Oryzias latipes: one gene and its partner. Each later gene encodes a partner of the first gene's protein in a complex. Links are inferred from orthologs where the notes say so. Each region holds a gene or a part of one and is shown in the gene's direction. Other genes may lie near its edges.

Region 1 (3,963 bases):
AATACTTGCTCTCTTCTTCTGAGTGAAAAGCGACTTTAAGAAGCGTAAAGTTGCGCAGCGCCACCTTGTGTACAGGAGTATTTCTGTTTACATTAAGCGCCATCTAATGTCAGGGAATGAAATTGCAGGTTCACTCGGCTCATCGTCAGCGAAAATCGCCTGGGTGTGAACACAAAAAACGTGGCGAATAACGCTGGCGAATAACGCCTGGCGAATATTCGTCCCGGTGTGTACGGGCCTTAAGGTTGGGGTCATCTGGACGCCATAGGATATGTGGTGATGCTGGTCCCCGCCTGTGATGCTGCATTTGGCTGGTTATGCAGCTATTCACAGAAAAGGAACGTCCCAAATATTAGCCTCTCCTACTGCTGACATCGCCTATCCCCATCAGGAAGGTGTGAAAGGGGAGGGGGCTCTATTTTAATATTCATGCTTGTTTTTATGTTTTATTTTAATGTAAAGCACTTTGTGTTTTTGTTTTTATAGGAAAAGTGCCATTTAAAAATAAAGCTTGATCGCGATTTGCCTTTCAAAGCAAGGCGGCAACAGTCAAGCATTAAAAAAAAATAAAACACTCAAACGGAAGTGATCTATGTAAATTTTACTGTCTGTTCAACAGAAAATCTGAATACTGATTGATATTTCTTACAGATTGGGGTACTCTCATTGTTGGGAAGCTTTCTCCATGGATCTGTGCAGACTCAGAAATCGAGACCGAGCGCCGGAACTCAGAGGAGGCAAGTTCTTTTCAAGTTTGAACCATTTGAAACGGGTCTTTATTTCCATTCAGGCATCGGCGAACTCTTGTGAGGACTGCCAGCTCTTGTGGGGTTAGGAGGTTTATTTTGTTATAATTTTCCACAGGCTCTGACACAAGAGCTGAACTTCTCAGCATACCTGGGTCTCCCTGTCTTCATGATCCCTCTGACGGGCCCTCACAATGCCAATCTGGCCCGCCTGCTGCTGAGCCACATCCACACGGGACACCACACCTCAAATGTAAGACACGGGATGGCCTTTGCTCCGTAGGTTACCAAAGCGTCACTCAACCGCGTCTTTCTCCTTCAGTTCTGGATACGTGTTCCACTGATGGCGGCAGAAGACACGAGAGAAGACCTGATTGAGAACGAACCCTTTTCTTGTCCTGATGAGACGAGTGTTGATGAGAAGACGTGGAACTGGTGAGTTTCTGTGCATCTGCTTCCTCCACCTCTCTCAGGTCAAATTTCAAATCCTTTTTTCTTGTTTTGTTTCTGTTCAGGTGGAACACATTTCGAACTCTTTGTGACTACAATAAGAGGATCTGCCTCGGTGAGGGAGCAAACCATGTTGTGGTAGCTTTGGACCAGTCGGAATTCCGTTACTTCACGTTTGTTTGTTTTTTTTAGCTATTGATATCGGTGCAGACATGCCCTCAGACGCAGTGATCGATAAATGGATGGGGGAGCCAATCAAAGCTGCCATACTTCCTACAAGCCTCTTCCTGACCAACAAAAAGGGATTTCCCGTGTTGTCAAAAGCCCACCAAAGAGTAATCTTTCGCCTTTTCAAGGTACTTCTTCTTTACACCCATTTGTTTCAGACATTTATCGATGGTTTTAATCCATTCTGTTTAACCAAAAATACTTCCTTTCAGCTGGAGGCCCAGTTTATCTTCACAGGCACCAGTCGGCACACTGAGAAGGACTTTAGGTCCTACCTGCAATACCTTGAATACCTCAACCAGAACAGGCCAGCCCCCAACGCCTATGAGCTCTTCGCCAAAGGCTATGAAGACTACTTGCAGTCACCTCTACAGGTGAGGAAGCACTAGGATTAGGGTCGCATCTTTTTTTTTTTGTGTGTGTGGAAATTATGATTATTAATAAGTGAGATCTGTACTTCTGCTGTTTAGCCCCTCATGGACAATTTGGAATCTCAGACTTATGAAGTGTTTGAGAAGGATCCCATCAAATACTCTCAGTACCAACAGGTAAGGTCCTCAAAAGCAGCAATATTAGGACTTAAAAGTCCCACCCCGATCATCATTTGATGTCTTTTTTAAAGTGTTCCCAGTAGTGTTTTTAATTATTAGTGGCGGCCAGCAGCCATCGCTGAACTTTGGACCCATTTTGGTCATTTATCCCGCTGGACTCTGAATGTCTGAGAGTGGGTCGTCTCCGGGATGACCTGATAATGGATCTGATTCCAGTCTCAGGGCAGACACTCGTCCATTAGCCCTCCGAGATGGCCCTCATCACTGGAATAGCATCTTTAGCCATTAAGACGTCAGTTTAAACGTCATGTGTGACAAAAAGAACAAAAAAGCAAAACAAATTTGATGGATAAATTACAGGAAGACCGAAGTTTTTGCATTTCAAGATTCAAGTTTTATTGCCGTTTGCACATGCGGTACATCGGAATTTTTCTTTGGCATCTCTCATGTCAGGATAAGTTAAAAAAGGACAAAAGAAAAATTTGAAGAAGAAATAATAAAGAAAATAAAAATAAATAGAATAAAGTTAAAAGTCAAAATTAGACAACAAATTTACATGGTGTATAAAAATATAAATATCAGTAAAATATGATAATGGATATTGCAGAGACCCAATCTGTACAGAAGCATTATTGCACATAGAATTATTGCACATATTATTGTTTATTGCACTTAGTATTTTAGTCCAGTCTTCTCTCTCTGATGTCCTTAGCCAGCATTCTGATTGCAGCTGGGAAGAAGCTGTCGTGGAAGCGTGTGGTGTGTGCGTGGATGCTTTCAGGCCTGCGACGCCTGAGGTTGTGGCCTGAGTCCACGCATTGGATCAGTCCATGAGCAGGGTGGTGTCTGTCTCTGATGATCTTAGTCACTCTCCTCCTGCAGCGCTGTTTGTAGATGGTGTCCATGGATGGAAGGTTGCAACCTATGATTTTTCCAGCTGTATTAATGACCCTCTGCAGCATCTTCTTCTCTTTTAAGGTGGTGTTACCGAACCAGGCTGTTAGTCCGCTTGTGAGGATGCTTTCCACAAGCCCCCTGTAGGCTTGGGTGAGGGTCCGGCGCTTGAGACCGGCCTTCTTCAGCAGCCTGATGAAGTACAGCCTCTGCTGGGCTTTCTTCACTGTGGCAGCAGTGTTTCTTTCCCAGCTGAGGCTGTTTGTGATCTGCAGACCAAGGAACCGGTGGCAGTCGGTCCGCTCCACCACAGTCCCGTTGATGATGAGCGGTTGATGTGGCGGTGCTTTCCTTCTGTAGTCCACGATTATCTCTTTTGTTTTCTCTACGTTGAGAACAAGGTCGTTGTCCTCTCCGTAGATGGTGATCCTGTGCACAAGGTCTCTGTATGCAGACTCGTCCCCTCCTCTGATGAGGCCGAGGACGGTTGTGTCGTCTGCATACTTAATGATGATGTTGTTGGAGTCGGGGGAGGTGCAGTCGTGGGTGTAAAGTGAGAAGAGCTTTGGACTGAGGCAGCACCCCTGTGGTGTACCAGTGCTAACTGTCAGCTCAGCAGAGACCTGCTTTCCCATCCTCACCACCTGTGGTCGGTCAGTGAGAAAGTCAAGGATCCAGTTTCTGGTGGGTGTTGGTATTCCCAGATCTGCGAGTTTATCAGTCAGCTTCAGGGGCCTGATGGTGTTGAAGGCAGAGCTGTAGTCCAGGAACAGAATCCGGGCGTACGTGTTCTTGGTGTCCTGATGTTGCAGGGTGGAGTGAAGTGCCAGTGCCACCGCATCTTCTGCTGATCTGTTGGGGCGGTAGGCGAACTATTTAGTCAAAACAAACAAAGATGGAGGTTTAACATGTTCCCAACCCGTGTTTGATTGAGTTTGACTTTAAACGCTCTTTTTCTTATGCCAGTTTTTACATGAATATGTATATATTTTTACTTCTCTTGTCAAAAACGACATTTTGCTAATCCTGTGTCATATAAAAGCATCATTGTGAAAGTTATGATTTAGCATTCATTAGTGCAACATGTTGCCTCT
Region 2 (4,952 bases), on another chromosome or scaffold:
AACATCAAATTCAACATTTCTGGTTTGTTTTTAGCTTCAGCAGAACACCATTGCTCATGCAAACTGTGCATCTTTGGGGGATCATCGATTTTCTAAAATAATAAAACACGTTTAGGGGATAACAATAGTCATAGTTGTTTGTTTTCTTTATAAAAACTATAAGATAAAATTTCAATAGAAATTTTAAAATAGAAATAACGTTAGGAATCCCACTAGGTTATGCCTAAATCTTACCAGCACTATTTACAAACGTACAAAAAACTTGTTTTTTATTAAATAGGCTATAATAAATGAAGGTAAATCTGCAAGACATAAAAACTGAACAGAATGAATAAATAAGAATAGTTTAAAATATATACTTACAATTTTTTATGTTGACCATCACATAAAGAAAAAAACAAATATTTGTGCAAAACAGCAGAAATTGATCCTTGTGAGCCACAAGTGATTCTCGTGCTCCTTCTCATATGTAAAAACTTAAAATTTATCAAACAATAATCACAGAGATGCTACGCTCTAGCACATATGTGTATGCGGGCTCACTGTGTCCTAATGAACACAATTAAAAAACTTTGTGTTTTCTTGGTGTACATAGCACAAAGCTACAGCTTACAGCCCTCAATACAATTGACCTGTCATGCTTTACAAATGTATAACTTCTATACCATATAATCCAGATCGTTTTTAAATTTTCTGCATCCTTATGTAATTTCTTTGGGGATTTTTGGGAATGTATAAATGAAAGCTTTGTACATTTGTTTACTGACAATTCCTAAAATTATCCATTTCAGACCCCAGCTGGGTCCTTTTATTTATGCGTTTTACACGAACACGCTTCATGGAATTGTTTTATGACTTAATAGTCCTTTAGGTGTCTGTGTGCATGCCTGTGGGACCCTGCAACAGACTGGTGACCTGTTCAGGGTGTACCTCACCTTTTCCCAACAGTAGCAGGATAGGCTCCAGCAACCTCACGACTGCAAAATGGATTCAGCCGGTTCTGAAGATGGATGGATGGATGGCTGGACTTTGTGTTGAATTTTCCACCATGTCATTGCTGTCCCAACCTCTTTGTTCTGAATGGATGGGCAGTAAATGAATTTCATACTTATTTCTCAGTTAGAAAGACACCTCAATTTTTGCTTCCAGATCATGTTAACATCCCAAAGTACAGGAAACTCAGTCACTGTAAGCTGTTCGAGTCACAGGGGTGGCACAATTAATCGACTTAATCGATTTGCTTTCCTACGATTCAACCAGATTGATCTGTCTGAGGCTAGTTGTTAATCAAATTGACTTATTCAACTACATCTGCTGGAACAAGTACTCAGATAAAACCAAGCAACACATTTTTTTTAAACGTGGATAATTTATTTTAAACAAAACATTTTAAAACCTGGTTAGATCCCGTCACATTTCACACTCACAATAAATCATCATTGCCCACCACCAACCCGCGCCTGTGCCAGACCAAACACACCCACTAATACAGAAAGCTCTCATATTGATTGAAATGAAGCCTTGTAGTTCACCTTCTCTGCCCGCAGGGGGCAGTGCAGACGGGAAACGCACAAGAGGAAAAGAACAATAAACACCAACGAAGAAGTCCTCCAAACGCCTAAGGGACCTTTTCCCCACCGGTCCCACGTGTTTAATGCATTATTATTTCGTTGTCATTCATTCGGGACGCGAAAACGTATCCATTGTTTTCGCTAGAAATGTTATTTTAAGCTCGTATGCGTTTTAGGTGTATATTTCTATTTTGCCTAAACAGAAAATACGAGCTTTTCTTTGGCCGCAGCTAGCTTAGCTAGCGTTAACGGTTGTGTAGCTGATTTGCGGACAACCACATCTGAATTAGTGGGAAACTAGACTAAAGTTTGCTTTTTGGATGAACAGTGCAGTCGACACAAATATGATCAAGGAAAATCGGTGGAATATTCCCCCAAACGCTCCGGCGTGCATGGAGAAGCATCTGTGCGCGGCTCAGTACCGAGCAGGTAGGAAGAGAGAAGGCGCTAACCGTGGGTCACAGGCATAAACCACGTGCTTTTCATTTATGGGACTGGGGGTTTGTTGGTGTCCTGATATATTCAGCTCAGTTCTTTAGTTCGGCTGTAAACTGGTGTGTAACCTTTAGAAACGCTGCTTCCCACGTTCGTGCTGTGTCCTCTGCAGACGGCACGCTGCTCCTGGGCGCCTCCAGCCTCTCGGGCAGGACCTGGCAGGGGTCTGTGTGGATCTACAGGGAGCCTGAGCAGGCCCCCAGTGAGGGCTTCTGCAGGGCTGGCGTGCAGACGGAGGCAGGGATCACTGATGTCAAATGGGTCACTGAGAAGGCCATTGTTGCTGCTTCAGATTCAGGTGCGTCTCAAATGATCCTGACAACTAAAAACTCAATGTTCAATACTTTACAAACATTCTGCTATAACTTAAACTGGCTTTTCCTTCAAATGTAAGAACATATTCATTTGCTGTTTTACATTATTTTAAGTATTTATCCTTTTTCCACATTTTTATCTGTCTTTTTTAACTCATTTTTACTTTATTCTCATCTAATAAGTTTTATTTATCTTCGTATTAATCCCTGATTTTACCTTATATATTTTATTTCTTTAACATTTTGTTGCAAAATTCATGTTTTCCTCAGAGGGATGTTTTAAGTGAAACGTTTTTATTTTTAAATTGAACGCACTTTGTTTTACTGATGTATGACAGGTGCTTTATAAATAAAGTTTAATTTGATTTGAACTGTGGAACAAACATCCCATGGAGCCAGTCGGGCCGCAGGATTATGGCCAAGGGACGGATTTTCTAAGTTCTCAGATTTTTCCAGTAATAATTGCATATTTTATATCGGATTATAGAACTTTATTAACTTAGCCAGAATTCTCCCCAATAATATTATTATTTATTAACATTTAGATGTCATAGTATTTCTTCTCCTTTCTTTCTTTTGGCTTCATTTGTATTTTCCATTTGTTTTTTTTCCTCCAACATTTTTAGTGAATCAGAATAACAGTTCAGTGATTGCATCTACGCCTGTTTGTCCCTTAGCAGCCTCCGTCCTGCATCTTTGTTTAATGGAATCAGGTCTGTCACTGAATTAAATATTAGGCTGTCATCCGTGTGTAAGAAAAATGTACTTCTAAGTGTGTTGGGACAGATTGACATCAGTAGACAGGGATGCAGTGTTCTGTTGGTTGGCAGGATTGTGTTTGGACAGAACTGCTTCTTGTCCTCAGGTGCTCTAGAGCTCTGGGATTTGGCAGAAGATGAGCGGCTGCTGGTTAGTCGCTTCACCAAACACGAGCACGACCACATCGTGACGACCGTGAGCCCCACTGGAGCAACCGGCGCCGTCACCGGCAGCATGGACTGCAGGTCAGACTGCCGTGTCTGTTAGACCGCTGAAACGTTAGTATCCACTCAGAACTCTGAGGGTTTGATGTGATGTCAGTTCACCCCTTACTGCTACAACTACTTCCACTATGGGTTCATATCAGGATCAGCTTAGTGAATGAAAAACCAGATTGTAAATAAATAAAAAAAGATCATTTGAAAAGTTTTAAGCTCAAAAGAACATTAGGATGTGTTCAGACTGGACACTTTTGGTCCGTTTCAAGTGAACCAGAGTTTGTTTCTCTCAATAATCCGGACCAAATTTTCAGTCTGAATCCCCCCAAGTGGACCCTCATCGTCGTACCTTCGTACCATCTTCTTGCCAGTAAGCGTCTTGCAGGATGCCTCCGCCGTACCAAAGGAGCAGTAAAAAGAATTGTTCCTGATGTTAATACAGGCGCCAAAAACGAATGAGCGAAATATAAAGTTTTATTAAGTGAACCATCCCGACAAGGATTGCAAACTGGAGGACTTCCGTAGTTTCTGTCTCTAGTTGCTTTGCCCCGCCCTCGTAATTCCTGGCCTGTGGGTGAAGAGGCGCTTGACGGGAGCCTGAATACAGACCAGATGCAAGGTTCAGGCCTCGATCCATACCAAATGATTTTTCCAGTCTGAATACACACCAACACAATATTGAAACATTACAAATTGTAAAATAGAAGCTTGAATTAAAACAAATCTAGGCTAGTGCTTCTTCACCAGTCTGGTGTTCTTGTCCGTATGAACTTTGCTTTCTGAAGTGCAGTCGTGTTGAAACAGCAGAGATTCATCCTCTAACTCATCAGACTTGTGGGTAAATCGTGGGCCATCAAAAAAAACATTAGATAAAAATATGTTTTAAAAAATCTGTCTGCAAATAATCCTCCTCAGCATTTGACTGACATGCAGAACGGCCAACCGAACATCCTCTGATACATACATCCGCCATCATCCGGGTGTCATGACATCACAATCATTTCACTGACAGCCGACTGGAAGATTTAGGAGCGTGGAAATGTTGTGACTCGGATATTTTTCCTAAAATAAATGAATTCTCTTCAATGCAGGATTAAAGTGTGGGATCTCAGTCAGGAAGCAGCTGTGACCACCTACAACAGTAAGAGAGCCTTCAGTGGCAAAGCACTCCTGTTTATGCTTTTGACCAGGAGTGTAAATGATGATTTTTAAGTCGAGTTGTGTGTTAGAAGTGTATCAACGGTGGTGTTTGCAGAAGGACAAACACTTTCTCTCTCTCCGTCCAGTTCACACTCGGCCCGTCAGCTGTGTGACCTGCAGCCCAACAGATCCGTCCCTCTTCGTCTCCTGTGGCCAAGTATGAAATGATGTCTTCTGTCAGCATGTGGTCATTCGGGCTCCTGGGGATCCTTTTCTTTCCTCCCACGGGGCTTGACGAGTTGCTTAGATTCTTCTGGCTTCTGTGGTTTTTCAGATTTGTTTTCTGCAGGCTGTCAGTCAGCAGCCGCATGTTTTTCTCTTTCTGTGACGGTGAAGAGTTTGATCGTTTCTGTCACCAGGACTTCACAAATTAATAGGATGAATACATTTTACTG

Evidence for each region. The genes of interacting proteins can lie anywhere in the genome.
Region 2: prmt5 (region 1) and wdr77 share a complex: the UniProt entries of both Homo sapiens proteins name them as parts of the methylosome complex. The link is inferred for Oryzias latipes from reciprocal best matches to the Homo sapiens genes PRMT5 and WDR77.

The regions. Positions count from the first base shown.
Region 1 is NC_019875.2:17,815,669-17,819,631, reverse strand, and holds part of prmt5 (protein arginine N-methyltransferase 5), read left to right. Parts: intron 1-651; coding exon 652-737; intron 738-864; coding exon 865-999; intron 1,000-1,068; coding exon 1,069-1,181; intron 1,182-1,261; coding exon 1,262-1,311; intron 1,312-1,388; coding exon 1,389-1,552; intron 1,553-1,636; coding exon 1,637-1,798; intron 1,799-1,894; coding exon 1,895-1,972; intron 1,973-3,963. UniProt on the Homo sapiens protein: Arginine methyltransferase that can both catalyze the formation of omega-N monomethylarginine (MMA) and symmetrical dimethylarginine (sDMA), with a preference for the formation of MMA.
Region 2 is NC_019863.2:2,525,795-2,530,746, reverse strand, and holds the start of wdr77 (methylosome protein 50), read left to right. Parts: upstream 1-1,583; 5' UTR 1,584-1,891; coding exon 1,892-2,000; intron 2,001-2,178; coding exon 2,179-2,364; intron 2,365-3,245; coding exon 3,246-3,384; intron 3,385-4,448; coding exon 4,449-4,498; intron 4,499-4,643; coding exon 4,644-4,714; intron 4,715-4,952. UniProt on the Homo sapiens protein: Non-catalytic component of the methylosome complex, composed of PRMT5, WDR77 and CLNS1A, which modifies specific arginines to dimethylarginines in several spliceosomal Sm proteins and histones.